Drosophila melanogaster: one gene and its partners. The protein of the gene in region 3 interacts with the protein of the main gene of each other region in a pairwise test. Each region holds a gene or a part of one and is shown on either strand. Other genes may lie near its edges.

Region 1 (7,565 bases), on a different chromosome or scaffold from region 3:
TTCGCCACTTAGGATGGCCCCACCCACGGTCCTGGTCACCGGAGGAGCCGGCTACATTGGCTCCCACACGGTTCTGGAGATGCTCAATGCGGGCTACAACGTCATCTGCGTGGACAACCTGTGCAACGCCTACAGCAGCGGGGCCAAACTGCCGGAGGCCCTCAGCCGGGTGCAGGAAATCACCGGCAAGAAGGTCAACTTCTATAGAGTGGACATCACGGACAGGGAGCAGGTGCGCTCCGTCTTCCAGGAGGTGAGCACACGTAGCATTACATAGCTGGCACGTCAGCAGTTCGGAGGTTCTGGGGCAAATGTGCCAACTGGATACCATTCAATCAAGCTTATCTGGCATGCGCGCTATCAGCTTTTTTCTCGTTCGCGCTTGTTTTGTTGTTTGCTCAAGTGGCGGGGCACTTCCGACGAACCGCCGTGCTGATCGACCCTGAATGAAAGACCCACTTGGCGAGGTCGCATTCGAGTTGGTGCGCTGGCATCCACATCCACAACAGCTCCCGGGCACGTACACTACAATCTGGGTGGTCGGGAGCCCAGATTGCAGTGTTTACATCCATTGATAACCAAGAGAATTCGCTAATTCGAGCAGGTTATCACGCATTCTTGAGATGTTCGATCAAAGGGGTTTTTTTTGTTAACCACCGTCGTTTATAAAAAACAAAGCGTTTATTTACATGTAATGAACATTATAAAAATGCACGTTGTTGCCCAAATAGCCATGAAATATCTTAAGCTGATACTTTTTCATATTTTTATTCAACCATAAATGCACACAGCTTTGTGCTTACGCGCACTGATTACTGAATAGATTGAGCAGTATTTGTTGTGGTGGAATTTTTTACCTAATCAGCACTATCAACAGCTATTTAAAGAACACATAATTGTTTGTCAATAAATCACCTTGAAATCAATGTGATACTTTCATTTAATTGCTATTAAATTCTGCACTTTACGTTTATAAGAGGCAATATCCTTGTGCTTACTGAAGAGCTGGTTATTACAGATTTGGATTTCCCAAACTAATAGGTACATATATTTACATCCCTTTCAGCACAAAATCGACATGGTGGCCCACTTTGCCGCCCTGAAGGCCGTGGGTGAGTCCTGCCGCATACCTTTGCAGTACTACCACAACAACATGACCGGCACCAATGTCCTGCTGGAGGCGATGGCCGACAACAATGTCTTCAAGTTCGTGTACAGCTCCAGCGCCACCGTATACGGTGAGCCAAAGTTCCTGCCCGTGACCGAGGAGCATCCCACGGGCAACTGTACATCGCCCTACGGCAAGACTAAATATTTCACCGAGGAGATTCTCAAGGATCTGTGCAAGTCTGACAAGGTAGGAGGATGTCATTTCTTGATGTCCATAAGTTCTGTACTAAAGAATTCGCTCTTTCAGCGTTGGGCAGTGGTTTCGCTGCGGTACTTCAACCCGGTGGGTGCCCACATCAGTGGTCGGATTGGCGAGGATCCGAACGGCGAGCCCAACAACCTGATGCCCTACATCGCACAGGTGGCCGTGGGTCGACGTCCCAGCCTGAGTGTCTACGGCAGCGACTTTCCCACGCACGACGGCACCGGCGTGCGCGATTACATCCACATCGTGGACCTGGCCGAGGGACACGTAAAGGCGTTGGACAAGCTGCGCAACATCGCGGAGACGGGCTTTTTCGCCTACAATTTGGGCACCGGCGTGGGCTACTCGGTGCTGGACATGGTGAAGGCGTTTGAGAAGGCCTCCGGCAAGAAGGTCAACTACACTCTGGTGGACCGACGGTCCGGAGATGTGGCCACTTGCTATGCGGACGCCACGTTGGCGGATAAGAAGCTGGGCTGGAAGGCCGAGCGTGGCATCGACAAGATGTGCGAGGACACGTGGCGCTGGCAGAGCCAGAACCCAAACGGGTATGCCAACAAGTAGAGCTGTATATCGCCACGTTCCTGCCGCTCCGCAAGTTCCTGAGTTACTACGCCTGATAATGGCTCAGGTAGCAATTTCTATTTGCCTCTAGTTGTGTATATTTCTTTCCAAATTTCGTGTAGTATTCGCTCACTTCGATGTGTGCAAGTGTGCGTATGTAATCCAAAGTACTTTGTAATTAAAAAGGCTTTTCGCTGTTGTCATGTAATTTTGTGACCGTCATTTACGCGTTTGGTGACCGCTGGCATCATTGACGCGTGCCAATTGGCGCAATCACGTAATTAAGGTCACCGACAAGGTGGCACTGGGAGATTACACTTGGCATTAGGTAAAATAAACACACAACTGCATCAACCATTTGTCAGATCTTAATCAAAAATGGCATAATCACATTAAGCTGACCAAAGTTACAAGAAGACGTCTAACTCGCACATTTATTTAGCAAACATTTATTCAAATGCAATATAACATTAAAAACTCAATTTTAAACTTAAGTGATGCGCCTTCTTCGCACATATCTGCACAGTTAAAGTCATTTATCACAAGTATGTACTATGAATGTATGTTTCTTTCAACAACTCTGCGTTCGGCTGCTGCTTCTGTTTGGTTTTGGAATGGTCTGCACGTATAAAAGTACAAAATTGTTTATATTCGAGCCTGTTGTTTCTGGGAGTGTTTGTTTGTATCGGTATTTGGCAATCTGTTTTACACTTAGGAGCTTGGCGATTCGTTCAACAAGTGATGGAGAGGCAAAGAAATCGAATTCAACAAGAAGCATTACTAGGTGCTACATTTACGTCTGGCTACATGTGTGTGCGATATGCATACGTAATGAATTAATATGTATAATATGGTAGTTCTAAGTATTCGCATAGGTTGCAGGAGGCAAAGAGATCCGTAGCCCAGAGGGGCGGTGGAGGGGATAGTTTAAATGCCGCTTAAATACTGCTGTAGTCTGTGGAGACCCTGCTCCGAGCACCACTTATGTGGAGGTCACGCCCTTGCGGGCCACCAGCATGTTGAGTATCGGGTTTTTCCGGATGTAGCTCACGGCCTTTTTGTGGGTGACCATGGTGAAGTCGTAGCCGTTGCACTGCAGGATCTTGTCGTGGATCCGCAGACCTGCTCGGGCGGCGGGACTGCCCTCGTGCACCTCGGTCACATAGATGCCCTATTTTCAAAGGGGAAAACGTAACATTGTAACATTGAAACTGCTCTTAAGATACCGAACTAAAACTAAATTCCCCGACTTTCAAGGAGAGCTATAATTATTAGCTTTAAGATTGAAGCTCTCTTTTATGCCCGGAATTAGGTTCTAGTGTTTCCCAAGTTTCTCACATAATCCGTGTATCCCTGAGGGCTTTTCTTGTAGTCCTGGTCGATTCCGCCGCCGATCTTGAAGCCGCACTTGAGGATCTCGCGCCCCTCCTGGTCGTAGTCCTTCTCCTTGTGCAGCGTGATGGGAATCTGGGAATTGTGAGTCACATTTCATCAATCACTCGAATTTGAAAGTGGCTTGTCTTTTTTGCTCCAGCGACCCAATTTCACCTATACACACACAGGCGACTGTGCGTGTGAGCCAGGTTTAGTTCGTTCGCAACTTACGCTCAAGCACTCCATCGCCGTGCCGGCCTGGTGCTGGAATGCCATTTTCGCCATGTCTACCGATGCTTTGACTAACTTTAATTTGCTAGATTAGCTAAGATTCCGCTGGTAAATTCGTCTTAAGATTGTCGCCCACAACAAACTCTGCTTCTTCCTCGCAATCATTTATCGATGGCGAAAAATCGATAGGTTGCAGCAATAATGCGATTGTTGCCAGCGACTGCCGCTGACTTTAAATATATACTTTTCATATAAAATAAAAACATGAAGGTCTTTACGATTGCTGTTTGGCAATGTTTCTTAGTTTTATTTATACTATATTATACATCTAGAGTCCCTATGCCTATGAGCGCCGCATGGCCAGCATGGTGTTGATCTCCCAGATGATGATGCGTGTCCGATCGATGATCTCGCGTAGCTGCCTGTTCTTCAGCTTGACGGTCTCTATGAGTTCATGGTTCTCCTGCAGGACTTTCCGGTACTCATCGCACAGCGAGGGCTCGATTCTCGGTTCCGGCTCATCGCGGTAGGGAATCAGACTCTCGGCGCTCATGTAATCCATTCCGGCGTCGTTGCACTTCTCGTAGATGATGCGCACCCTCTTGAAGAGCAGCCGGATGGTGCGGAAGTACTCCTGCACCTTCTTCTCGGAGCTGTTTTCCCTGTGCGAGGTGGGCTGGATGCCCTTGAGGGAGGCGAAGACCTCCTGGAAGCGCGAGGCGATATCCTGCACCGTTTCCTGACCGAGACGGGACAGCTGCACAATGTTAATCTCCTTGTGAGGATTTTGCTGCGAGATAGCCAGCATATTGTTGCTGCCCCCGGCTCCACCGGGTGGAATTCCTGCGACCGGATTGAGTTGCTGTTGCTGTTGGGGAATGTTCTGCTGGGGCATGTTTTGTTGGGGCTGCTGTTGCTGCTGCTGTGGAACCACTCCCCCTCCGCCCATTCCCACACCACCGCCCATTCCCACTCCGACGCCCACTCCTTGTTGGGGCACCATCATTTGCTGCTGCATCATCTGCTGCTGCTGCTGTTGCTGCATCTGGTGCTGCGGAGACATGCCGGGCATCAGGCCGCCAGGACCTCCAGGTCCTTGGGGATTCATCTGCATGCTACCCGGGCCGCCCATCATGCCCATTTGTTGTTGCTGCTGTTGATGTTGAGGCGACATGTGCATTTGCTGCATATTGCCGTGCTGCATGCCAAATCCACCCATCGGCATCATGTTGGGGCCCCCGCCTCCTCCGCCGCCGCTCGATGGTCCCTGATTACCCTGGTTTTGACCGTATTTCCACATTTTGCAACGTTCTTATAAAATAAACAAAATATCACGCAGAACGATAAACTTTGGCAAATGACACTGTTGTCGATAACATAAAACAAAACGGATAGTGTTAGATAACGCTGAAACTGTATGCTCGCAAACAGCTGTGAAGTCGCGGGTTTTAAATTACCAATCCTAAATGATAGATCTAGATCTAGATCTAGATTATCTTCACTAGATAAATTTGAGTGTTTTTACTAAGTTTTTATTTGGTGATTACTAAAATTTAAATTCTTAGTCAAATCCAAAATGGTAATAATAGCCCCCTGCAAAACTCGTTAGGAATGCGTCCATGCGAAAAGAGAGTTGCCACATGCGCGCAAAAATAATGAACATAGGTGTGTCAGCTGAGCGGTATTGGTGGAATTCAATTTTGGCTTTTTCATGCTTTTAAACGATTAAAAATGACCCGCGATGAGGATAATGGTTTTAGTGAATGGGTAAGATGTAGATAAAATGCTAAAAACATTGTACATAAACCAAACCTGCTCTTTTCAGGGCGGCTACTTCGAAGCCAAGAAATCTAAACTTGAGGAGCAGTTCGCTGCCGCCAGCGATCCATTTCGCAAGTCGGACCTCTTCCAAGGAATTTCTATATTTGTGAACGGCCGGACTGACCCTTCGGCGGATGAACTGAAGCGTATTATGATGGTGCACGGCGGGACCTTTCACCACTACGAAAGGAGCCACACGACGTACATAATAGCCTCCGTTCTGCCCGATGTGAAGGTCAGGAACATGAATCTCAGCAAGTTCATCAGCGCCAAGTGGGTGGTGGATTGTCTGGAGAAAAAGAAGATAGTAGACTACAAACCCTATCTGCTGTACACGAACCAGAAGACATCGCAGCCCATGCTCATCTTTGGGAAACCCAAAGACAACGGCGCAAATGAGAGCAAATCGGATGTGGAGCCGCCGAAAGATAAAGCGGAAGTGGAAGTAGACTCTACAAAAGATGAAACGCAAATGGAGTTGGGTGGCATTCTCAAGAATTTGCAGCAGGCTGTGGCCACTTCGCCGGAAAAGGAGGCCAGTGCATCAGAGAGCAAGATCACAAACTTATCCACCACCTCGAATAACTCCACCACCGCTCGCACAGCCGCGGATCCAAATTTCTTAAGTGAATTCTATAAGAACTCACGACTGCATCACATCGCCACTCTAGGCGCGGGTTTCAAGCAGTATGTCTGCCGGTTGCGTCAGAAGCATGGTACCCAGGGCTTTCCCAAAAGAGAGACACTGAAGTCCCTTGCTAATTCACACCACAATTGTTTGGAACGCTATGTGATGCACATTGACATGGACTGCTTCTTTGTGTCCGTGGGCCTAAGAACCCGTCCTGAGCTTCGTGGGCTGCCGATTGCGGTGACCCACTCGAAGGGAGGTAACGCAGCCACCGATGTACCGGTGCATCCGCAGGCGGACCGAAAGGCAGAGCTGGAACTCTTTGCCCAGCGCTTCGAGCACCATTTCCACGATGGAGACAAGGCGGAAAAGGTGCGCTCGGGCTTCGACAAGAAAATGTCGCTCTCGGAGATCGCCTCCTGCAGCTACGAGGCGCGGGAAAAGGGTATCCGCAATGGCATGTTTGTGGGCCAGGCCCTGAAGCTGTGCCCGGAGTTAAAGACGATTCCGTACGACTTCGAAGGCTACAAGGAGGTGGCTTTCACTCTGTACGACACAGTGGCTCAGTATACCTTAAATATCGAGGCTGTGAGTTGCGACGAGATGTTTGTGGAGCTAACCGATCTGGCACACGAACTCAATGTAGATGTGATGGCTTTTGTGAGTCACCTCAGGCAGGAGGTTTACTCCAAAACGGGATGTCCGTGCTCAGCAGGAGTGGCAGGCAACAAGTGAGAGACCAAATAAGCCTTTTACAATTATAATATATATTATATATATTATAGGTTGCTGGCGCGTATGGCCACCAAGGAGGCCAAGCCGAATGGCCAGTTCTTGTTGGATTCGAGCAATGATATTTTGGCCTATATGGCGCCGATGTCTTTGGATTTACTGCCCGGTGTGGGCAGCAGCATAAGCCATAAGCTCAAACAGGCGGGACTGAATAATTGTGGAGATGTTCAGAATACAACGTTGGAGAAGATGGAAAAAGTGCTGGGCAAGAAACTTGGACAGAATTTGTTCCAGAACTGCAGAGGAATTGATGATCGTCCTTTGGCTTACGAGCAGGTTGGTGTGCAGATTTTATTGCGTCCCACATATTTGTTTCTAATACCGTACTTTTCGTTTAGATCCGCAAAACAGTTTCTGCCGAAATGAACTTTGGTATTCGCTTTACCAACTCGGTCGAGTGCGAACAATTTCTGTGTCAGCTCAGCGAAGAGGTTACTAAGCGTCTGGTTGAGATAAGGCGCAAAGCTAGATCGATTAATCTGAAGATAATGGTGCGCGCCGCCGAAGCGCCAGTCGAAACCTCCAAGTACATGGGCCACGGAGTTTGCGATATAATCAACAAGTCCTCTCTGATCAAATATGCCACGGATGATGTAAATGTAATCACCACGGTGGTCCTCGACCTGATGAAAGACGCCGATATACCGCCCGACGAATTGCGTGGGCTAGGCATACATCTCACTAGGCTGGAGGATGCCAACGAAGTTCGGAAGGAGAACAATATCAAGGAGATGTTCGGCAAAATGTCCGAAATGAGGAAAGGTATTTAATCCGGCC
Region 2 (8,915 bases), on a different chromosome or scaffold from region 3:
GACATTTTTTCTCAATTGGCAATTTCAAATATTTGCCTGTAGTTGCATAAATTTAAACAAATAAAATATGTAAATTCTGCAGATACAAACGCACAGCATACCCTGGCAAATAGGGGAGCTTATGCGGCAATTTGATTGCTTGGATACGGGATTTATAATTGTGCGATGGCTGTGCGCAAAATTGATTAATATTTCCCGAATGCTTTCTATGAGAAACGTGCAATATGCAATGCGAATGCAAATTTTAATCAGAGATATTATACTTCGATGGCCGTTTCGGTCAGCCAAAAATTCAATTTCCATGCGTTCACCTATTTTCGGAGGATTTTCGAGTGAATCAACATAGACATATGAAATATTTGACAGGTAAATATTTATTAAATTGTGTGTCAAAAACCGGCGTTTAAAGCTGAAGCCGAATAGCAATATGCTGATATTTTAGAACAGACGCATTTGGGCGAATCCAAAAGATACATATAGTACCGCTTATAGTTCTCGTTTTTATTCGTCTCGATATCGATAAGTAAACGGATTTAAAAGCGGGATTGTTAAGAGCAATGGCCAATAAATGCGACCATTAATAATGCAAAATATCACATTATTCGCCAGCGCAAAATGTAATTATATATAATAGAAACAATCAAAAAAGCAAATCCCATAAATTAAACTCCCGGCATAAAGCACTGACGGCTTTGGCAATTGAACAAATAACAGCTAAACAAAAAAATGCAACTGCTGGGGGAAAAAAAAATAGTGAAAATAATGCAATTTTAAATCTGTCACTGGAATAGTTAATGCCATATTAGTTGTTTTGAGCTAATAAAGCGTAATTATCAACACATTTATTTAATTAGCCGCACAAAGTGCGCAGAACAAAGCCCTCAATCAGTCGCCCATCTCCATCGCCCTCTTCAATTTGTCTACAAATTGTGTGTGGCATATATAATGACAATTTAATAGGCTTGTCAATCTGCTGCTGTTTGTGCGGTAATTTAATTTAATCCTCGCCCAAAAATCGAACCATTGATTTTAGAAGTAGTCATTTTTAAAGACATTCTTCGCTGAAATCTATCTACATATGTATGTATGTTTTTTCTATCCAATCGACCGAACGCATTATGCAGTCAATAAGATTATCGGACTGAAAACTGCAGAAACAGACGGACAGCGCATGGATTTGCCATTTGATTTAACATTAATGAACAAAATGAAATTAATTGAAAACTATTTTCATTCTGCCTCTTTGTTTTTTCCCGCCGTTTTATTTTTTTGTTGGTAATTACCTTTTGTGCATAATTGCTGGGCTTTAATGGGTTAACAAAATGCGATTAAGCGAAATGCAATTGCGAAATGCAAATTTTTCCTCATTCGGATGATTGGAGAGCATATCTCGCAGGCATATATCCCCTATTCACTTGGCCTAATGACAGGCGGCAGATTGAAACTGGCAGATAAAGTCGACACAAAGGACGGGCGGCCATAATTCTCCATCAAAAAATGGGAACTCCAGGAGGAGACACACTTGTTGCTGCCCCGCCCCCTTTGAACGGCCTGCCCTGGTGACAGTTTACAAAGTGCTGCAATTAGGGCTGACAAAGTGCCCGGCTCCTGGTCTCCTCGATTTCTCCTCGGCTCCTCGATTCCATCTCGACTCCTGGATGCTGGGAACATTGTGCGAACACCCGAATGAATTTGTTAAGACCACTGCCCGCTCGCCTGCTCTGTTGGCAAGCGAACAAGTATCTGTTGGATATGAATTAATCAAAGACTAAATAAAATGCTTAGCATTTGCATTTCACCCCGTTTCAACAAACAATTTGTCAGCCTTCGTAATGGACAGAGGCAAGTGTCACAGGCGGATTCTTCTTTTAAAAATACATCAGAAATGTATATAATTCATTTGGCCGAGGCAACTATTTCGGTGACGGACGCACACCGCTGTTTTTCTTTTTTATTTTCTTCTCGTTTTTGGGGTAATTGGAGCTGCAGTTTGGTCAGCAGGGGTTAAGGCAAAGTAATTTTCATTGAGATGCCGCCCTACCTTTCGCTTTCGCCAATCACAAATATATATATATTTTTTTTTTTTTTTTTTGATATTTGTGACTTTGGCATTGACGTCTGTCTGCAGGGGCTGTCGATCGAAATAGACTTGGCGCAGAAATGCCCCTCGAATATTAGTTCGTCGGTGGGCGGAAGGCCAGCGTTTTGAACTATTTTTCCAAGGAAAACTCGAGCGGAATGTCTTGGCTTACATACATATGTATTTAAAATCACCAATCGCCCGTTTAAACGCCACCAAATGTCGGGCAATTAATTCTCGATCTCGATGCCGAAAAAGAGATGCACGTAAATGCTGTTGTGATTTATGAGCGCGCGCCGCACGAGATTTTATAATTTGTTCAGCGCAACGTGCATGGCCAAAATAAATATTTTCCCTTCGTTAAATTCATAAACAAAACTCTGGAATGGATGGGATGGAATGGCATGGGTATGAGATGCCATGCGGGTTTCCCCACTAAAACCCTATCCCAAAGTGCCGACTCAATCGCAATCTCTCGATGGGTTTCTGTGGCTTTTGCCGCGGCGATGAAACCAAAAATTGTTTGCCAGTCACGTTTGTGGTGCAGAAAGAGCAGTGGCAGCAGTGGTACCCATTACCCATTTAGCAAAAAGTAAAAAAAAGGGGTATGGGGGGGAGGGTTCAGACAATTCGAGTTGCGTTGAGTCTGCACTTCTTCGTCGAAGATTTCGCGTCTGTGGGCGTTTATTTTCAACGCACTGCGGTTATGTAATTGCGAGGCGTCGGATACGTGATTACTTTTAGTCAAATTGCCGCTCGAATATTGTGTAATTCCGCTCGACTCCGCTCGCCTCCTCCACTTGCGATTTCATATCTGTGCGAAAGTGTGCCATCGCAGTTGTTGGCCAGGCGAAAGTGATTAACTTGTTGGCAGAAGTTAAGGTCAGGGTTGCACACCTCACAAGTGCTTTTTAAGTGGGAGCAATAACAGAGCACTATAACTTAGTAAATCGATAAGGAGAGCTAATAGTATCAGTCTGTATAGCAATAAATGTATTTATTTATGCTATATATTGGGAAGTAAACATTTGAAGAAATTGTTTCTTTGCTGAGATGATATCATTGGCTGAAATAGCACACCTTCTTTCCTATAGCCAAGCACTGCATTTAAAAATTCATTATAGAAGTTCTTTTAAAAGCCATATAGCATATAGCATATGAGATTCAAGATCAGAAGGTCGAAAGGGGTCATATCTCAATCTACTCCTACAACCATTCCCAGGCAAGAACCTTCCATTAACGTATGTTTAAATATTCTTGAATCATTATCATCGGTCGGGTTTTGCGTTGTTTCGCCACCTTTTTTTTTTTTTTTTTTTTTGTTCTTTTGCTCTGAGTGACATACGAACCCTGAAGAATAAACAAAGATACAAAGATACGAGAGAAGTGCTTGTCTCAGCAAAAGGAAAGAGAATGCAATCTACCATGACAGTTCACGAAGGTTAAATTCTTGAGAAATGATTTGGTGGCAATCGTAGAGACCGCAGAGAATTTGCAAAAAGCAAAAGCGGCCAATGAGAGAGCGAACTAATTAAAATATACGCAAAGCTGTTTGAAATTTGTAGAGCATGTCTCCCCTTTTTTGCCCCATCGCTCAGTCCCCCGCGATGGTTGCAATATGTGCACGAATCCGAGTCAAGTGAAGCCAAGCCATGAAATATTGTCACGCACCCAGGAACGGAATGGGATAGGATAGGAATAGGATGTGCACGAGAAGTGCCATTCTAATGAGCTCAGCTACATTTCCACGACGGCCTTAATTTACGATTCCCGGCCGAGAAGGAATTTGCTAGTATTTTTCAGCAGTGAGAAAAAATTTAGATACAATTCTGTTTACTAAAAGAACTCGACTTAAATAATTAAACGAACAGTCAGCTCTTTGTTTTCGGTGTATTTTCTAGTGCACCCATCATCCTCTGCGTAATTAATTCCGCCCTGGACTGATAAACCCCAGTGTAAACAAAGACATTTCATTCATCGAAAAAGTGGTCAGTGGCAATGGCTATTAGCTCATTCAAGTTTATAGAACCACTATCTTATCGGGCATTGATTCACGGATGTTGTGAGGCGTTGTAAGATTGATTCGGTCGAAGTGGCGATTGCTTTACAGCTATTATTGGTGAGGTGACCAAACATTAGTTTAATCGCTAGATAACAAGGTGGGTGATTAATCGATTTCGTCGTTTTGTTGGGGTTCACTGAACCCAGGCTAAAAGAAAGCCAGAAGATAAACGGACACAAGAACAGGGCGAGTATCAACAAGTTTTGGTCATGGCTAAATTACATCACAGGCAGACTGCTGGTGGCCTGGCAGGAATTGGAAATGGCAAATGGAAATGGAGAGCAACCACTGCGTATACGTGATGTCAGCGGCAGTGAGAGTGAGCGAGAGCTGGCGAGGTAGGCAGAGAGAAAAGGAGAGAGCGATTGCTGAAAATCGCTGAAAATAGATCAGGCGAAGAGGAAATCCGAAGAGCAGCCACGAAAATCGCAAACGAAAATTGCCAAGATAACGAAAGACACTTTTCGAGGAGGCGACCTAGAGAGCTGGTCTGGCTTCATTAATATGCGATGCTTTATGCTGTCGCCGATATATAGTCTATATAGCGCTCAAAACGTTTTGAAAATGTCTCAGAATTTGTGGCGCCAAACCGCAGCAATTCGAGCATAGAAAGGAGGCGCAGGAGGTGGTGGCCGCCACATTCGCAGCACTTTCGCAATTTGTGTATCTGTATCTGGCAGATATTGTATCTGGCGGATGGCTGCTGGCGAACGGCGCTGACTGACTGACTGAGCGAGAGTATTCGGAAACAAATCCAATCCGCGCAGCCATTTCGAGGAGCTATAAATAAACTCACCTTGAAAAGTTTCTAAAAATTTTCTCGCTTTTTGACTATATAATTTTATTCAATTTCAACGAGCCGAAGATCTACAACGTATCTGTATCTCTGTATCTGTGCTCTGGCCAACAAATGTGATATATGCGTCAAAAGAAATTCCCTGGATCGGCGTGCCAAGAAAATTATTTACCAATCGCCTATATTATTCGCGCTGAGTCTTCGGTTTCGTAAGGGACTTTACTTGTTGTTAACCTTCACAAAATGCACACAAGTCACTATTTAGTGGACGAATGGTGAGGGAGAGGGGCGGTGACTGTCTCTGATATTGATTCTGATTCATCAGCGATCCTGGCGAATCGATTGCGGCAGGCTATTGTATAACCAGCTGATTTCTACTTAACCGAATGTCTGATTTCACATGCGACCTGGTACTGACCGATTTATTCCGATCGGGTGGCTTTCTGCTGGGATTCGATTAGATTCGATTCGATACGGTTTCGATTTGATTTGATTTTTACTGATTTGGACTTGGATCTCGGTTTCGTATATTCGTGACGTTTGTGGTGCACTGCCAGTTCAGTTCTTGGGCGACGTTAACTAAGCGACGATTTTCTCTCAACTAAAGCAAAAACCGAAACCGAAAATTTTTATGTGCATTTTGTGCCGTTTTCGAATACAAAAATCTTTTCAACCACATCGCTGCCGTCGCAGTCGTCGTCGCTGCCGGCGTCGCTGCTTTTGGGCCGTGCGAGAGGCAGTGGCAGTGGCACAGTCTGGCTATATAGCATCTATATAGACATTGTCGGTTCTCAATTCCCAACCGATACGACGGCAGAGCCGCAAAGCTACAAAACGCCAGACGACGGCGACGGCAACGGCTGCCAATGTCTGTCTGGCTTTTGTGGCCCACTGTTTTGTTGTTGTTCCTGGTGCGGGCTATTCTTTTTGTTATTTGGCTAATTGTTTGTATTTTGTTTTCATAGCCAAGCTTTTAACGGCGCAGCCAGCCAAATGCCCATGTGCAATCAGTCCGTTTCGGGGCTGTAACTTATAGTAATCCTATAATTACATCTAGTTAAATGGGATAAACAATTTGCTGAAGGGCTCAAGTACAATTGCCCAAAAAATAAATCCTTAAGTAGGATAATTTCATTATCTATACTTTAGATATACATAAAGTTTCAATGATCTCATATTATTGTTTCTTGTCATGAATGTACTATGCGTATGAAACGCACATTTGGCACATCTCTTTGAAGTTGAAAGCAAGTGCAGGTGCTGAACTATTTCCCGTGATCTGTTTTCCTCAAAACCACAACAAAGTGTGCAGCTAAATGGGAACAACAACCCCGAATAATCTGGGGAATTTGGGTCACAAAAGATCCTAAGTGCGTGAATCAGCGGTGGTGACTCCATCCGAGCTATGATCCATCCGATCCATTATCCATTTCTCAATAAACAATTAATCATTCCGTCGGGGTCACACATCCCTCATACCCAATGCATGCTTCTTTTAAAGATCGCAGGTCCAAAAACATACTCTCGCTAAAATGAAATTTCCCTAAATTGAATTTCCAGTGCATGAAAAGTGAGCCATAAAGCATTAATATGTTAAAATGTAGCCATAGCGCAAAGCTTACAAAAATAAACGCAAATATGTTTTTGCCAGCGCTGATGTGCTCAATCAAGCAGCGAAATGAAACGAAACGAATTGAATCGAATCGAGGCAAACAATCCACCAATCCACCAAAAAACAAAAAAAAAATGGACAGGAAAACATGGACGACTATGTAGATAAATATGTATAATATAATATAATATTTGGATGTTTTATGCCGCGCGTATTTGTGTCTACATCACATCACATAGCGGGTGGCATAAAAAGCTCAGGCGGGTTAAACAAGAACAGCAAACAAGTAAACAAATAATAATAAACCAACCCGCCACCTAACTATGCCGACAAAAAACATTTCGGCTTTTTAATTAAATCATGTTGAGTGGCAAAAATGATAATAAAGAATCTAGCGCAATTCAATCAAAATCACTAACAAAAAACACTGTTCTTGCGGTTTTTTATTACGCATTTCGGTCAGGCGATTAAGATACGAAATACCGAGATACGGGCGTAATTAAGTTTAAAGACCGCATCTCGGCGATCTTTCGTTTTTATGTTTTAATGACAACGGTGACAACGGTTAGTTACACAATAACTTGCGGTTAACACTTTTGCTTTTTATACCAATGCGGTTTAATTGCTTAAATCTGTCTTTGATATTCGGGGATGCTGAGTCAACGGTCAAGTTTTCGGAGCCATGAATCACACAATCGAGCCCTGTGGCTCGAAACCGGCTCTTCGCGGAGCCGTTTTTTTTTTTTTTTTTGAAAACTTTTTGGCAGGAGGCCAGCACAAACAACAAACAACGAACCACAAACAACAAATCGCCAAGAAACTGGCCAAGACACTTACACTTCCTTCACTCGCACTTGTTGGATTCGCAAGCGGATTCGTAACGTTCTCTCTCTCTGCGAAAATGAAAAGCGTTTGGGGGACCGTGACCGGGAGAGTTGTTTCTGGATGTTTTGAGCACTTGAGTGAATACGTTTGAGTTCCTCGACACTTCTTGGTCTTATATCTTTCGTTCCGGGTTTATATCTTTCTGTTCTGTTGTTCTGCGAGATACAACCGCGCGCGATCGTTGCGTTCGAGCGAATGAGGGCTGGGATCGGGATCTCGACGACGACGGGTTGTTTGGAGTCGCACTGTAAGACGAGCGACTCACACAAATACTCCCGCTCACCCACACATCCGCACGCTGCGCTCTCACTCGCTCTCTTCTCCGCTCAATCAACAGGTAAGTGGTTGGCCAAAAGGTGCGCAATTGTATCGGTATCCGTATCTGTATCGGCCAGTCTATGTGTATCTGTACCTGTGCATGTGTGACACTCGTGTGCGGCACTTGCTGATAAGATAAGGCCAGAAAAAGCCGAATAGAGCAAATGCAAATATAAACAAACACCGGGCGCAACCATAAGCCATGAATTTCGCAGCCAGTGATAATGGCATTCGAGCCATAAATTCAGTTTTCTGGTCTGGATCAATAATTTGAGCAAGCTAATTTGCAGCAAATAGCGCGACTTTTGGCGAGCTGCAATTCTATATTTAGGTTGCATGCCACATCGCACCGAAACTGGTTCCTCCAGTTTCCTGATAATCTGGGTGACGGCTACACAACCCAAAACAACAGCGGCCCCAACACAACACCCTGATTCTGGACGGGCACAAAGTCTGATTTTCCTTTTTAGCGCCAAACAAAAATCAAAACAGTCGGGAAAGCGGCGATTTTCGCACACCCTCTAAACCTTTTATGCGTACTTTTCTGAATGCAGTTACTTTCCTTGTAATGAATGAGCCAACTTAACCTGCTTATCAAAGCTGATTTATAAAGAATATCTATATATCGCAACAAAATACATACTCTTCAAATTAAAATAAATACATTTAAATTTAAAAATCTAAAACTGGTAACTTTCTTGGCAAACCGCAAAAACTCTTTGTGAGGGCAACAATTCAGCAAATGCAGTTCCTCCCAAAAAAAAAAAATAAAAGAAAGACATGAAAAAAGCGATCAAACTGCGCAGTTGGCCGAAACCGGTTGCCGCCTTGCAGATCGCCTGCTTCATGCCCTTTGCTTTGCAGTGATATTGTTGACCAAGAGCGAGAAGCGGGCCAACAAAACCCCGTCTCCCAGCAACTGGAGGTGAAAAGAACAAACAGAAACCAAAAGTGCTAGCCCCATGACTTTGGCTAATGCACGCGAGAGCGGTAGTAAATCATTTGCCAGCTATTTTGTTTGATCAGTCGACAGAGCGGACTTCTGGCCCAAAGACAGACCGGCCAACAGAACCCAGCCAGAGGAAGCGACATCGCGCAGTCACTCTGAAAATGTCACGCATGCGCTGTCGGCATGCGCGTAATTGCATTGAGGATGTGCGAG
Region 3 (8,497 bases):
AGTGGAGTCCCAGCGAACTTTCTGCTGTTTTCCCTGCCGCTCGTCGCCACTCAGTATGCGACTTTCTGTTCCACAGAGTGGCTTTGTGCCAGGACAGATCGTGCCGGTGGAGGTGATGGTCTCCAATGACAGTGGTGTAGCCGTGGAGGACATAACCGTAAAACTGACTATGGTGGTGATTTACTACAGTCAACCCCCGTCCGCGGACACCAACAAGGACCGTTTTGAGATGGTCCTGAAAACAGGCGGAGGTGTGTCGACCAAATGCCGGCAGCAGTTTACCTTCGATCTTAAGGTGCCGCCAACTCCGCCAACCTGCTTTAATCTATGCAGCATCATTCAGATCGGCTATCAGGTGGAAGCGGAGGCCAGAGTTAAAGGTTGTCATGGCGGCCAGTCCCTTCACATGCCCATAACTATTGGAAGTGTCCCGCTAACGAAGCAACTCCAAAAAGAACCAAGGACTTGGGGTGAAGTTCTGCCACCCCAGCAGCTAGATGCGAAGGCTTTGATTTTAATTGGCAGCGAACAGAATGGAGAAGCACTCGGAAGCCCCAATCCTTGGGCTGCGGATCCTTCAATTGGTGAGTAAAATAGGAGCTTTAAGGAAATTCATACAAAACTCCATATTCGAATTTAAAGATCATAATTCAAGGAATCACTTATTTATTTTAGCACCGCCGAGTTATGCTGAGGCTAAACACATCTCCCCGGATCCGCACAAGTTCTCGAAATCGAAGAAAAAGTCTCAGAAAAGAGGTGTAAAAGGATCACAAGAGAGGAAAGCTGAAACAATTGTGTTTTCACCCTTATACGCAGTCTTTGATTTGTCAAACCAAGTGGACGAAATGACTTTGAGAGCAAATGAACCCAAGACTGATGGCGGCTATGTCAATGAAGGTGTAGAAAAAAGCACTTGGCTTTAGAAGGGCTTAAAAATGAATGTACCCACTCTGTAAATAATTAATAAGTAATCGAAATACAACAGACATGACAATTACCCTGTGGTTGAACGCAAACTGCGGGAACTTTTCGTCGACCTCAGTGAGCAATATTTGCTGAGTTGTGCGATATCTTATCGATGAGTTAATATATTTATTTGAGTGAAATTGCTATCTTCAGATGCGAGAGCCTCAACTCATTTGGGGGCACTTGTTTTTACACCACAAATATAAGTATCAGCTGTTTTTGGACCTGATAATTCAGTTCTCATGTTAGCTGGTTACGAATGATCTATTTATTGTATAAAAAAATTGTAGGGGGTTTTTGGGTTTACCAATAAATAGATTTATGGGTGTACTGATAAGATAAATTACCAAAAGCTCTCCGTTGCACAAAATAAGTGGTAAGAAACTTTTTAGTTCAGTTTGATTGCGGCAATTGAAGGGAAAACATCTTAACAATTAACGACAGACTTAAATTCATTAAAACTTGTGCTTTAACCATAAAAAACCATGGGAATAATTTGCCAAATTCTTTTTCACAACAACACGCAAGGGGTTTTTTACGCGGGCCAAATGGTTGCTGGTCAAGTGACTCTGAGCACTGATAAGGCGATTCAAATCAAAGGTAAGTACTCAGTTGTGATTGCGATACTTCATATAATTCTCGCAACATTTTACATATTAAGCAATTCGACTTAAGCTAAAAGGTTATGCAGAGACCCATTGGACCGAAAGCAAGACTGATTCGAATAACAAGTCCACTTCAGAGTCGTACAATGGATTTGAGAAATACCTTTCCAGTAAAGTTTATCTTTTGGGTTCCGAAATTAGCCCTGGTAAAATATTGAGTGATAATTTGTTATTGAAATTGGTCAAAATTTCATTTTATGTATTCGCAAAGAAATGGCTTTGGAGCCGGGAACTAGGTCCTACAATTTTGCTTGTCCAATTCCAATCAATTGTCCCTCATCGTTCGAGGGGACTCATGGTCGTATACGTTATATGGTGGATGTCAATATCATTCAGCCGTGGAAGTACGACAGCATTTTCTCAAGAGCTTTCACCGTTATTCAAGTGATGGACATAAACACCTATAACTCTGTTTCACAGGTAAATATAACATGAAACGAAATTTTGGAGGTCTGCTATAACAATGTAATCGCTTTTAAGGTTCCCGTGCAGGCCAAGACTGAGAAAACCTTTGGGGTCTGGCCCTTCCGATCGGATCCTCTAACGCTGGAGCTGAATTTGCCGCAGACTGGCTTTGTGCCTGGTCAGACGGTACCCGCAAATGTTCTGATTGGTAACGAAAGCAAAATTCGGGTGCACGAAGTGAAGGTTGGACTATCAATGATGATCACCTACTACAGTGATCTAAGTTCAGGTTCCAAGTGCGAGCGCAAGTCCGTGGCCAAGTTAAAGGCAGATGGAGTTTTGAGGAACTCCCGGAAAATGTACGACTTCCAACTGATGATACCCTCTACTCCGCCTTCATGTTTCCATCTGTGCCGCATTATCAAGATCGGATACCAGATCGAGGTTGTGGCCAAGGTGAAGGGCATGCATATCAATGGAACTCTGATAATGCCGGTGACTATTTGTGGTGTTCCGATATCGCCGTCAGCGGTGCAATATACGCCGCAGAGCTCTGGGCCAGAGGCTCCAGAACAAAGAGCTTTGACTTTGATTGAGGGAGAGGGAGCTTTTGCTCCAGCTGCTCCCCCATATCCCTGGTCAGAAGGATCCACACTATGTAAGCTGTCCTTGTTTTAATATGTCCATATCAATTATGTAACCATACGATTTTTATAGCGCCACCGAACTACGCCGAGGCCATGCATTCCCATAGTGACTCTGAGAAACAGTCAGAGTCGGGAAATGCGCAAGAGAAGTCTTACAAGCCGTTGTATCCTGTCTTCGATTTGTCTACTTCAACTGTAGAAAAGAGCAAGGAAGCGGCTTTGGATAAAGAGGAAAAGAAATGAAGGCGGGCGAAAAAACTATTCTACATTTGAGAACCATTGGACATCCCATCCCACGCCTGCTTGTCAAGAAGTCCTTGGGATTTTTCCGGAGATATGAGGGCTATTTGCTGCTCGACTGCATTTGGCAAAATGTATAATTCAAAATTGTGACAGCGATAAGATAAAGTTTTTCTGGCCATCGCTACCAATATAGAACAACCGCAATGTTTGTTTTATTCTCAGTTGATTTCTGGCAGCCAAGTGGGCATGTGGGTGCTATCGTCGCGAAAAGCGGTTCCTTCCACTCTGTCTGGAGTTCTCGGAATTTAGGGAGTAAATAACTGAACATTGGCATTAAAATCAAATCAGTCGTGTTTGCAGCGGCATCAGAGTAGGATCGGCCCATAAATACACGATTGCGGTTACAATTACAATTATGACTGTTACCTGTGAAATTGATTTCGATAACAATCCCCATGGCACCTACTTTGGGGGCGAGGTACTCACTGGCAGAGTTACGTTGAAGCTGGACAAGATGAAGTTGGTAAAAGGTGAGGGGCAGTTGATTTGAGATACCTTTGGAATTTGACAATATGCCATGAGTCATTCTTATCTTATCGTCCAACTTAAAAGTGCGGTTGAATGTTTTTAAACGAAGATTTAGTCCGGTGACTCATATATTTATAGTGAGTAGAGAACCACACGTGCGAAATCTAATGTCTACATGAAGGTGTTTGGCGAACATACACAAATGCATCAATGATAATATTTGCGTTCGATAAGATTAAATTATTTTTAAATAATCAATGGGTTTCGCATTAATTAATATTAAATAGGGGTGGATACATATTTGACTTTTTCATATATACAACGATTGCTTTTGTAAGTTTTTATGGATATTTCATGTGAATGCATAACAGTAATTCTGTATGATTAAAAGATTTTAATTTGTCAAAACCATAATCATCGTTTAGATGACTTAAAAAACAATTAAAGAATAAATTCAATTCGTTACAGTACATTGAGCTAAAATACCTTTCTAAGAAATACCTTATCAACTTCTTCTCCGCAGCCATCACCTTGAATATAACCGGATACGCAGAGACGCGTTGGATTGAAAGGGTGACCACAAACAGAAGGAGGAGACGTCGCACATTCTGCGGCCGCGAGGATTACATAGCGTCCAAAACATTTTTGGTGGGATCCAATCTGAGCAGTACGTAAAGCTCCATTTAGGCAAGAAAGTCCATCTAATTGCTAATCATATCTGCAGGCCAAGTATCCATTGAAGCGGGAATTCACACTTACAACTTCGTGTGCCTGATTCCCACCGAATGTCCTTCGTCCTTCGAGGGATCACACGGCAGGGTGCGGTACATGGCAACCGTAACCCTCGTCAGGCCCTGGAAATTCGATCAGAGCTATACCCGATGCTTTACGGTGCTAAAAGTGATGGACTTGAACTTCGATAGTCCACTGCTAAGGGTACGAATCAAAATCAAACACGAATACATATCTGTTAGAACCTAAGCTAATTGAATATGTTATGTAGGTACCCGCCCACAGTGAAACCTCGAAGACCTACTGCTGCTGGCCTTGCCGATCAGATCCGTTGGCCCTCCAACTGACCGTTCCACAGACAGGATTTGTACCTGGCCAGAATGTTCCCCTTAGCGTGCTGGTCACAAACGATAGCCACATTCCGGTGGAGCAGCTCCTCATTAGTTTTGTGATGCTGGTGACATACCACAGTAAGCCACCTTCGATGCCCAATACCACGTCCGAGAGGTTGGTGGTAAACACCTTCAAGGGGGACGCTGTGCAAAGGAACTGCAAGAAGCTATTTAGCTATGAGATCAGAGTCCCGGCCACTCCGCCCACCTGCTTCAACCTGTGCGGCATCATCCAGATCGCCTACCAAGTGGAGGTGGAGGCCAGGGTGAAGGGTTGCCACAACAACGAGGTTGTCACCATTCCGCTGACCATTGGCAGTGTCCCTCTTGCACAACACGTACCAATCCAGCCTCGGGGTTTCGTCCCCCAGCTGAATGTTAATGAGCTGGCTGTTGAAGAAGTAGCCACTGCTCCAAACTCTTCAAGTCCATGGTCTGTCGACGCATCCATTCGTGAGTTTACTAGAATCCATAAACTAATTACAGTATCAATTTATGTTTTTTGTTGGTGTTTTTAGCTCCGCCCAACTATCAGGAGGCTGTTCACATGCGCAGCACGGCTGCAACGAGGTCAGACGACTTAGACGACCCGGAACCAGTACCGCCCAATACTCTCAGTTTGGATGGCGGTGCTTATAAGCCACTCTATCCGGTCTTCGACATACCCAGTCCCTCAGCTCCGCCGCCGACGGATTATACGCAGAATTATATGGCAGAGAGGGCCTTTGTCAATCCGGCCATGGATGTGGACAAAGACAAGGGAACGTGGCTATGAGAACGAAAATAAATACTATACTAGAAATGTAAGGGCGATAAAGCATTTGCACACAAGGCAAAAGTTCCACCTAACACTTTATAATAAACATTTTATCACAATTCCAAGACTGGTACAGGGTGGAGCGATTTTTGAAATTATTCGAAATTATATATATATTACCATATGTAGTCTAAGATTTTCAAACACGACGCTTTTCTTTCCTCTTGAAAACCCCTCGATGAATGCTGGCAATAACTTCCCCAGTGCCAAGGTCTCGACAACCAACTCTGATAACAGACCGAAAACCCCAAGTGAACGTCCGAGTAGTTCGCAAGGGAACTTATTATCGACTCTTATACAGTTTGGACTACGATTCCGTATCGTTCCCGGTGAAATCCGAATCCGACATCGGGTCCAAGTTATGGTTCTTATCGCTTATCTAACGACGCGGTCGCACCGCAAGCAGTCCAGAAGTTTTGTACTTAAATTAGTCGCAGTGAGTTGCCCCATAACATCGGTTTTAGCTTTTTCGCGCTCGGACATTTAATCTTGGGAAAAATGGTTGTTACGTGTGAGATCAGCTTCGATAATAATAAACATGGTACTTTCTACGCCGGTCAGCTGGTAAAAGGATGCGCGACCCTTAAATGTGACAGGTCCAAGGAGGTTCAAGGTAATTATAGTAAACGTTTAATAAACTACATTGAAAACAAATCCCAGAAGTTCGGCTAATTTCTTGAAGTTAGCTCTTCCTAGCGGCAGTATTATAAATATTTGCTCGATAACGATGTGTGTGTATGTAGAAATTGTATATTTTTATGACGACACTGAATTTAGCGGACATTCTTAGACGCGGAATGTGTTCGGTTGATTGATAACACTTTGAAGTGGCTTTGCTTTGGTATTATTTTAATAACGTGATTAGGAGGAAGGTTAGGCCCATCGCAAAATTTATTTTGAATTATATAAGGAATATTTTGATTTTACTGACAATATTTAAATTCTCCTCAAGTATTTATAACAGTTCAGTTGAGATTAGAATTGGCTTAACTATATTGTGCACTCCCAACTTTATTAACAGATTATATAGACACCATGATAACACTATATCCTAACTCTTTTCTTTATTTTCTCTTAAATCGCAGCTGTGCTGCTCAAGGTAGTCGGATATTCTATAACCAAGTGGAGCGAAAAGAGTCTGGGCTCGACAAAACTCTACGTGGGCCGGGAGGATTATCTATCATCAAATACTTATCTCGTGGGTTCCGAGCAAAGTGAGTAGAAACCTCAAAGATGTTTGCTTTTATAAACAATTTTATCTCCCAAAAAAGACAACACTCACAACAACACTCACAGACTCACTATTGAGGCTGGGGTTCACAGCTACAACTTCACCTGCCAGCTGCCCTATCAATGCCCCTCGTCCTTTGAGGGTCGCCATGGATGCATCCGCTATATAGTGAAAGTCCTGCTGATCAGACCGTGGAAGTTCGATCAGGCCTACACAAAGGGCTTCACGGTTCTCAAGATGCTGGATCTCAACTTTGACACTCCCCAGCTAAAGGTTAGTATGCAACTAGCAATGATGTATTTTGTGAAATATAAAATACTTCATAATACACTTAAAATGACTTTTTTTAAGTTGAAGACGTACAGACATTTTAGGTACTTTTAATGAACTATAGTTATATTTTACTTGTGGATTCAAAGTAATCATACTAAGATAATGATAATTCAAATGATTCGGTGTTATAGTGATACAAAAATTATATTTAGGTTAATTATATCGTATCGATTCATCCATTACAGTCCGCTGCCCACAGCGAGGGTTACCGCACCTTTTGCTGTGGTCCATGCAAGACGGATCCTTTAAAACTGGAGCTGCACCTTCCACAAGCAGGCTACGTTCCTGGCCAGAAGATTCCCGTGACCATTGTGGTAGTCAACAACACTGCCGTAGCCGTCTCCGAAATCCGACTCTCTCTGGTAATGCTGGTGAGATACTACAGCGTCAGTCCTGAACACTCTCGAGTGGAGCGATTAATAATATCGCGAGCTAAGGGGGAATCGGTGCTGAAGCAGTGCACCCGATCCCAGACCATCGATTTGCCCGTACCCTCAACGCCGCCCACCTGCGTGGAGTTGAGCAACCTCATCCAGATCGCCTACCAACTGGAGGTTGAGGCGTTGGTTAAGAGTCTACGCGAACAACAGCTGATGGTCATGCCGGTTACCGTTGGCACCATTCCTCTGGCGGTTTCGGGCATTGTGGTTCAACAACCTCCCCGGCGGAGCGCCCACTACGAAGGACCGGATTCCAGAAGGAATCCTCCCGACGAGCTACCCATGGTTACCGCACTTGAGAGCTTGCCCAGCGACCTGGCATCCAGTGCTGCTGATTCAGGTGAGATCATGATTTTGCAGTCTACGTGCCAATGAACTTGTAATGATTGACTGCAATCTTATCAAATTCTTTAACGAACTGAGCACGAAGTTTTTGTAGACATCGCCTATACTTTCAAAACATATGCCAAACGCAAGCTTCAAGTGCCATTACTAGGTAATAATAAAATGGCTAACAAAAGTTCAAAAGAAAATAATAAATAATGTATTACGGCTTATATAGTCACTTTGAGTAGAAGAAAAGGTGCGAAACTTATTTCCAGATTAACAAATATTTTTAAATTTAAACGATAAGAAAAGCTTGCATGGGTAGTATAACTTACTTTATATTTTATTTATAATAGTTATGTTTACTAAACCACGTTATTCTTCTACTTTACAGCGCTCCCCAATTATGAGGAGTCCCGTCACACTCAGCGGGGCAATATCAACGAAGAGGAACTACATGCCTTCGGGAGCAATGAGTTTGCTCCACTTTATCCCGTGTATAGTATACCTAGTCCTACGCCCGTGCTCACGGCAAACGCCCGGAATGCGGGATTCGTCAACCAAAGTTTTGTCAAATAGAGCATTTTAATTTTGAAAAACTTATCACTAAGATGTTTCAATTGGCAATACTTGATTGGATTCATTGTAGACCAAAAACCAAAAAAAATAAACTTATTTAAATGTCCATACAGTACTCAATTTATTTGTACTCTTAAGATACCTTTGACCCTCCTCTCACTTTACATCTTACATTACAGCGCGAAATAT
Region 4 (7,783 bases), 5.9 Mb from region 3:
GCTAACACACACACATACGCACACACACACACACACTGGCCCACCACACAAACATGCAAATGAATTTTTCATTTGCATGTGTCCTTCGCCCAATGAGCGTAAGGACTTGTGGACACACTGGCACAACTGGCACTTTTTGGCAACGTGTGAGGCTGCGAAATCTCAGCTGTAATTGTTGAATAATTCAGTTAGCACGCGGGATAATGAGACGCCGAAAACTGAAAATGAAAGCTCCTCCTTGAAGTTCTCTTCGAGTGTAAGTGTGTGTGGCCATCTAACGCCAATTTATTGATGAACAATGAGGCAGCATTGCAGTGTCTCTGAATTATTCAAGTGTGTGTGTGTGTGAATGTGTCCCTGTGTTTGTGTGTGTGTGTGTGTGTGTGTGTGGGGCTCGAAGCGCGTTGAAGTGTACGCACGCACACAAGCGCAGCGCAGACACAGGCTTTTTTTAATTCATCGAGAGTAGCAGCCGAAATGTTTGGTCCTTCGGTGCGGATTGTGGGGGTTGGTTTTCCTTTGCCCCACAGCGACGCACAGACACACACACCACACACACACACACACACAGGAAAAGGATGCCCGCCCTTAGTTAACTTTTTTGTTAGTTTCCCCGCTGCTGCCTGTTTGTTGTGCTATTTCGCGCAGCTTTCGTAGCCCCAACCACCAAGCAGATTCCCTCACAATTCCCATGCACTGGCAATGACAGTGACACTATCCTGCCACTCCAGTTCGCGAAAAAAAAGATGAAAAGAAGGACGAGAGCTGGCTGGGTCCACGCATTGGAAGTGTTTCATTATATAAAGCCCGCACACATACACATCCTTTCCGCCGCACAGGACGAACGCGAACGGCTCGCAATTTTCATCGGTCGCGTTGTTGGCAGCAGGCAGATCCTTTCAATCGCTCACGTTAATTGCACAGAAATTCAGCGGCGCCCCACGATTTTTTCACTAGCGTAATTTGACGGCGATTGGGCCGCACTTTCGTCCTGTCGCCACTCGGATTCGGATTCGAAATCGCATCCGTAATGCTCTCGATTCGGATTCGACGGCTGCGGCAGCTTTGCTCCGGCGCACAAAACAAGCAAACTGGTGCGGGGATAATTTTTGTATATTTTGGCAAGCAATTGGAATTGTTATTCGCCAGTCGCTTTGCTTCAACAATTTCACTGCATTTGTAATTATCCTTTTTTTTATCGTGGCAATCGGATGCTGCGGCGCGGGTGAAAAAAGTTTTAAACTTTTACGCTGCGTGTTGCTTAAATAGATTTTCGGGCGAAAGCTCGTCCTGCCAAATTCGCTCTCTTCGCGGAAAATCTCTCTCACTGTTAAGCTAACATGTGTCCTAACCGGTTAAGCGAATTCTGTTACGGAATTTGGTTCGAGTCTGGGCTGCAGACTGTTGCATTTAATTTAAAAAAAACCTGATATAAAAAACGAAACAAATAAAATGACTTTGCCATCTCATAAAAACTATTATTCCAATTGATTAACAATACACTCTTTCAATTAAATTGCTCACGTCAGATATATAAATAATTTTATCTTAAGAAGGAGTACAGTTTTAAAGCCATTGTGCCCTGACTAAGCGCTTGAGCATTGGTTGAAAACTTGGCTAGTACCTGGATGTTCAAAAACAGAACTTTTAAAATCGAACATTTCTTTAGAATTTGTTTCTCTGTTAAATTGAAATGTTCATAAGAAGAATAAACCATAGTCTTCTGCAAAAACGTTTATGCTTTTAGATAATAATTTCCAAATTTGTTTTTTATATTTTTAATTATATATCCTTCTTTATTTACCAGTAAAAGCGCTATAAAAACTTATTTGTTAGTAAAACCGCCTCATCATTTTGTTACGCATCATTTCATATTGAATGAAAATTAAATGCAAAAAAAATCGGTCATGTCGACAGAATCCACCGAATCACAATATCATCCTTTTGCCTGTCACCTGTGCACCTTGGGTCACTCCACTGCTGCTCCTTGGCCCACTGACCCGGCTGTCAGTCAGCGAGATGACTCCAGCTGAAATTGCCCTGAAATCGCGTCCAAAAATCAATTTTCACAATTTGGAGCAACCATGTTCGTCGGCCTGGCAGAGATGGGCTGATAACTAAAGTGCAGGGCAGGAGTGCACAGGCAACTCGAAAAAAGCTTAAACACAAAGCTACATCAGTGATCCATCGCCTCGGGCGGCAGGACGATGTTGCAGCCCAGGAGACCGCGTCCACTCCACGTTTTCGGCACCAGGATGAGGTCCAACTGCTGCTCGCCGCGCTTCACTTTCAGCTGGACATTCTGGCTCTGCATGTTGCGCACCAGCTCGCCAATCTGGGCGAGATCTCCCTTGAAGTTGCCGCTATTGATGGAGCCAAAGCGGAGGATGGCATCGCCGGCACAGAGACCCTTAAATGGTAAAGATGGCCCATCTCAATGCTGTGATCTTCGCTTGTTTACTACATTCACTCACAGCTCTTTCGGCGGGCGAATCGGGACTGACCAGATTGACCACCACGATGGCGCGTGCAGGAGCAAGATCCGTGATATTAGCGCCACCGGGTGAACGGTCGCTGTCCAGGTCCAAAGCGGAGGCGCGGTTCACCAGCTCCGGATCTGTGGTGGCAATCTCGCTGTGATATTGGTTGAGCAGCGTCTGGATCTGGTTCATCAGCTCCTTGTGGTCGTTCTGCAGGCAGATGATCGTCTGTCGCGCCAGGCGCACCTGGTAAACGTCGATGTCGTTGCGCGGAAAACCCTCGGCGTCCACCAGTGGTCCACTCATGCCCACATTGTCGTTCTGGAAGGAAGATATCATTATCAATGCTATACAGCATAAACAAAAGAATGTACTCAAAATACAATTGTGTATATACCCTACACCAAAGCATAGGATAATGCTGTAATGCTTGCCCAAGTGGACATACCCTAACCAACAGTAGGGTATTGAATATATCAACATTTGGCTTGGCGGTCCGTCCAAGTTGAAGAACCTGCGATCATGAATATCCACGGTGGTGCGTCACCAACAGCTTGCCACAGTGTGCATACCCTATCCCGGATGCAGGGTATCCCCGGATGAGCAAGCGAATTTACTTACGGCGGCCAGGATCTGTCCGTTTCTGTTGATCTGCGCCTCCAGCTGCTTTTTAGCGTTAATCAGACGCTCCAGGCGCTCCTTGGTCGTCGTCCCAGCGGCCATGACTTCCACTTCGATTCGAGTTATTCCAGCGTTCGTCCCGAAAAATACAAATTTATTATTTTTCGTTAATGTTTTTTTTTTTCAGCAGCGACAGTAGCAACAACAACCAGTGCTCGTGCAGCCCTGGTTGCCCGCGACCAGTGTGACCGTATTGCGGCGAACTTACTTTGGCCAAAAACTAATTGTTAAACAATTTTTCGGAAGGGGAAAAGAACAAATTGAACGGCGAGAGTAAACACAGGAATTCACAAATTTCTATGAGAAACAGATCGCACGACGGTGAAACGAAAGGGGGGAACGCCTTTCCAGCGGACATCGCAGAATAGACGACGGGCGACGAGGGACCTCGAAAAATCGCACGGCAATCAATTCGAGTGTGTGCGAATTGATTACAAAAATAAAGGTATTTCGAGAGGTGAGCGATAAAAGCGCGTGTGTGCCTGGTGAGGATTAGGTGTAGCCATGAACTAACCAAACGTTTTGCAGCCACAGGCAACACAGGGACCACACCGTCCACTCCCATCCGCCGGAGTGGGGCTGCCACCTGCGATATGTGATCATTGGGGCTCCGCGGAGGTTTATGCAATGTTCTAGCTCTCGGCCAGTCGGAGGTAAAGCAGCCGGTGGAGCAGAAGCAGGAGGGGCAGGAGCAACAGGCCAGATGACTGTGACCACCATGGAGGCACAGGTCAAGGCAGCACACCATCATCATCTACATCATCCCACGGGCGGAGGGGCCCAGCACAAGGTGGAGGAGGAGGAGCCGGATCCTGTTGAGGACGAGATGACCGTACTGCTGGCCAATAAGAACTTTCACTATGACGTCGCCTCCGATCTGGACGACGACGCTTTTGTGGAGCTCAAAGAAGACACCGCCCAAGCGGATGATGCGGGCGCGGGCGTTGGCTTCTACAATCCGGATGAACTGCTGCTCGATGACCAGCCACATCCGCAAGTCACGTGGCTGGACGACGACGAGATCGAGACGCTCGATCGCGTGACGCTGGACATGGGTAATATGTTCTTCAATCGCGTCGACAGCCAGGACATCATCTATCAGCAGAAAAAGAAGAGCATTAAGATGGTGGGCAAGTACATAATGGGCGATGTTCTCGGCGAGGGATCGTACGGCAAGGTGAAGGAGGCCATGAACTCGGAGAACCTGTGCCGCCTGGCCGTCAAGATCCTGACTAAGCGGAAGTTGCGCCGGATTCCCAACGGCGAACAGAACGTAACGCGCGAGATCGCCTTGCTGAAGCAGCTGAAGCATCGACATGTCGTGGAGCTGGTCGATGTTTTGTACAACGAGGAGAAGCAGAAAATGTACTTGGTCATGGAGTACTGTGTCGGCGGGCTGCAGGAGATGATTGACTATCAGCCAGACAAGCGGATGCCGCTGTTTCAGGCGCACGGTTACTTCAAACAGCTAGTCGACGGCCTGGAGTACTTGCACAGCTGCCGGGTCATCCACAAGGATATCAAGCCAGGCAACCTGCTGCTCTCCCTGGATCAAACGCTGAAGATATCCGACTTCGGTGTGGCGGAGCAACTGGATCTGTTCGCACCTGACGACACATGCACGACGGGCCAAGGTTCTCCGGCCTTCCAGCCACCGGAGATTGCCAACGGACACGAGACGTTCGCCGGCTTCAAGGTGGACATCTGGTCCAGCGGAGTGACTCTGTAAGCCTTCCTTGTATAATATCATGTATTAAATGTATATACTGTACTAATCTAACGGATTTGCAGCTACAATTTGGCCACTGGACAGTATCCCTTCGAGGGCGACAATATCTACCGACTGCTGGAGAACATCGGGCGAGGTCAGTGGGAGGCGCCCGCGTGGCTATACGAAATGGACGCGGACTTTGCCAACCTGATTCTCGGCATGCTTCAGGCTGATCCCAGTAAACGCCTCTCTCTGCAGGAAATACGCCACGACACGTAAGTAGGAATATTCCTTGATTGCACTTCATGATAACTGATTGTTATAATCTGCTTTTAGTTGGTTCCGATCCGCACCGGTTAAGACCGGCCCACCGATACCCATTCCCCCCCTGAAGGGTGACAAATACCGCAACTCCACGGTGATACCTTACTTGGAAGCTTACCACTACGGCACCCAGGAGGAGGATGTCTACTTTACAGAACACGACGTAAATCGTACGTACCAACATCAATCTAATGCCGAGTGAACTACTTTCATGGTTACCTTTACAGAGGAGCTCGCCCGCCAAGCGGCAGCTGCTGCCTCCGAAATTCGGGCCAAACAGTCGGCGGCAGCCCTAGCCGCCTGCCACACCTACGAACCGCCCTCCACAAGTGCCGCAGCCGCCAGCAATTCGCTGGGCAACGGTAGCAGAGAGGAGGCGCCCGTCAAGAAGAAGGGATCGGCACTGAAGAGGCGCGCCAAGAAGCTGACGTCCTGCATCTCCGTGCGCAAGCTGAGCCACTGCCGAACTTCGTAGGCGCCTTAGATGCCTCCACTAAACATAGATGCTAAGATTTATCGAAAGGAATAACTTTGTTAACAAATTGTGAGCAACTTTTTGGTTTTGTTTTCCCGTTTTTATTCTGTTGTCCTACATTCGCCAAGTATTTGTAACCATAGAATCATGTAGGAAATTCAGGCGCAACCTCGTACCGCCCGAGCAGCAGGAGCAGCAGCGGTCGCATCAACAGCAGCAACAGCCCGCATCAGCGGAGTTGGCTGTGGAATTGGGGAGCTATGGGAGCGACACGAAAGCTATATATCCATGTGACAATACTGTGTATTATATGAAACAAATGAATGCGTAAATTAGTCGTTAATATATTATGATGTACTGAAGGCAGCCGAGGATTGCCGGAGGAGACGGTGCCCATTGGTGCGTCGCACACATAAAGAAATATGTTCAAGTGAAATTGTTTGTTGGCTTCGTTATATTCTAAACTACACACGACGAATGATGCGATTTTCAGGCGCCGTCGGTACAATAACTGCTGGACAGTATTTGCAAGGCCTAGGTTGAGATTTTAATTTTTACAAACCAATGAAACGAAAATAAAAGAACCCATTGAATATCAAAATACAAACACTGCATTTAGTTCGCACATTTCGCACATTCCAAATTCCACACTCAACACTCGCAGACGCTCCATTATTCCATGCACACACGCTCATGCTCACACTACAACATTAGGCTAGCTAACTACGTTTGCTTAATCTATTTCAACGATCTGCAGCCGGGCCGTCGGATCTGGCTCTGAGTCGCCCTCCATCAGCTCGCCCATGATGAACATCTGATGGTAGTGGGGGCCCAGGGTGGACAGCTTACGCTGCATTAGGTGGCGCAACGGGTCCACATATTGCGGCGGCACCTTGGCCAGCTGTGTATTCGTGTTGCGCCAGTGCAGCCCGTTGTTGTCCACGTGAAACAGCGCCGGCGAGGGCACGTGATCTTTAAGATAGTTCCAGATGCACTCGCGCAGCAGCAGGGCAATCTGGAAATGTCATACATTAGTTGGTGCTACTACACAGTTTGGGCAAATAATGGATCTACCTCTGCCGATTCAAAGTGCTCGATGATGAGATGCAGATTGGTGAGTGGAGGTGGAATTAGTTGGCTCATAGCCAGCAGTTGCAGCATCTTCTTGGTGCACAGCATCAGCTCATCGTTCGCAGCAGTGGGCTGGAATCGATTGACTGCAAACGTATAATATGATTAGGCACCTTTATAGAAAATAAGCAAGTAAAGTGACAAGCTCACCATTCTTGCCCCGCCAGTGATGCAAGCAGGTGGCGCACAGTGCGCGCAGTAGCACGGAGGAATAGCAAAGCGCCGGCCTATGACCGGCGATCAGTCCCAAAACAGCCCACAGCACTGGGGAGTTGATGAACGCTCTCCTGATTAGCATGTCCCGCTCCATTGTGACCCTGGTGAACTCCTCATCCGGAAAGGGCAGGCCGTTGTACATGACATCCGTGGAGACCAGCTCGACCAGCAGCAGCGAGACCAGCGAGTAGCCCTCCACGTTGTTGGGCTTCTCCAGATCGGCGCAGCATGCATTCAATGCCTTAAGATACAGCGCCTGCTTCTCCGCATCGCAGTTCCGCTCGCTGGGGGGCAGCACTGGTCGCAGACCTCTGCCTATAATACCGGAATGCAGCACGGAGCGATTCGAGTTGGCGCCAGAGCTGGTGTGCAGATTCTGCAGGATGAGGTGTTCGTGCTCGGGTATCTCAAGCTCATCGAGCTGATACACCTCCAGCTGACCAAGCAAGTGACCGTGATAAAAGAGCGCGCGCTCCACCAGCTCGCGCAGGCAGACGGTTCTCGCGATTTTCCGGGCGGAACACTGCCTCTGCAACAGCGTGTAGGAGCGATGCGAAGCCGCTGCTCGACGGATCACAGCTAGAATGAGATATGGTTAATATATTGAGGCAAGGCTAAGGAACAACTATTGCGCTTACTCTTCTCGGTTAAGCCCACAAAGAAGTACTTTACGCTTAGCGTGGCCAGCTTGAGGACTAATGGAGTGCGCAGGACAGTTGTCCGGCTGCCGGCTTCAATGTTGTTCAACAGATCCACAATGAGATG

What was found.
Region 1: the proteins of CG18745 (region 3) and CG3402 interact in a two-hybrid assay, tested with the Drosophila melanogaster proteins (one large-scale study listed by BioGRID).
Region 2: the proteins of CG18745 (region 3) and Zasp52 interact in a two-hybrid assay, tested with the Drosophila melanogaster proteins (one large-scale study listed by BioGRID).
Region 4: the proteins of CG18745 (region 3) and CG9588 interact in a two-hybrid assay, tested with the Drosophila melanogaster proteins (one large-scale study listed by BioGRID).

Annotation. Positions count from the first base shown.
Region 1 is NT_037436.4:649,167-656,731, forward strand, and holds CG3402 (uncharacterized protein), read right to left. Parts: upstream 3,716-7,565; 5' UTR 3,599-3,715; coding exon 3,545-3,598; intron 3,407-3,544; coding exon 3,278-3,406; intron 3,111-3,277; coding exon 2,922-3,110; 3' UTR 2,376-2,921; downstream 1-2,375. Other genes in the region: Gale (UDP-galactose 4'-epimerase), read left to right, coding at 14-253, 1,067-1,357, 1,418-1,939; MED30 (mediator complex subunit 30), read right to left, coding at 3,888-4,844; DNA polymerase Rev1, read left to right, coding at 5,276-5,311, 5,370-6,727, 6,782-7,064, 7,127-7,550.
Region 2 is NT_033778.4:15,809,373-15,818,287, forward strand, and holds the start of Zasp52 (Z band alternatively spliced PDZ-motif protein 52), read right to left. Parts: upstream 5,546-8,915; 5' UTR 5,357-5,545; intron 1-5,356. UniProt on the Drosophila melanogaster protein: Regulator of cell matrix adhesion having two related functions, one upstream of Actn organizing the Z line and the other downstream of integrins regulating assembly of integrin adhesion sites.
Region 3 is NT_033777.3:7,780,801-7,789,297, reverse strand, and holds CG18745 (uncharacterized protein), read left to right. Parts: upstream 1-3,178; 5' UTR 3,179-3,344; coding exon 3,345-3,459; intron 3,460-3,980; coding exon 3,981-4,124; intron 4,125-4,181; coding exon 4,182-4,393; intron 4,394-4,460; coding exon 4,461-5,034; intron 5,035-5,099; coding exon 5,100-5,356; 3' UTR 5,357-5,455; downstream 5,456-8,497. Other genes in the region: CG18746 (uncharacterized protein), read left to right, coding at 1-584, 676-926; CG18748 (uncharacterized protein), read left to right, coding at 1,455-1,569, 1,631-1,780, 1,846-2,054, 2,115-2,697, 2,757-2,929; CG18747 (uncharacterized protein), read left to right, coding at 5,897-6,011, 6,484-6,612, 6,670-6,902, 7,148-7,742, 8,124-8,308.
Region 4 is NT_033777.3:13,673,327-13,681,109, forward strand, and holds CG9588 (uncharacterized protein), read right to left. Parts: upstream 3,356-7,783; 5' UTR 3,204-3,355; coding exon 3,102-3,203; intron 2,802-3,101; coding exon 2,475-2,801; intron 2,411-2,474; coding exon 2,177-2,410; 3' UTR 1,766-2,176; downstream 1-1,765. Other genes in the region: Lkb1 kinase, read left to right, coding at 3,784-4,886, 4,953-5,147, 5,209-5,366, 5,424-5,671; omd (oocyte maintenance defects), read right to left, coding at 6,405-6,686, 6,746-6,888, 6,953-7,597, 7,657-7,783. UniProt on the Drosophila melanogaster protein: Acts as a chaperone during the assembly of the 26S proteasome, specifically of the base subcomplex of the PA700/19S regulatory complex (RC).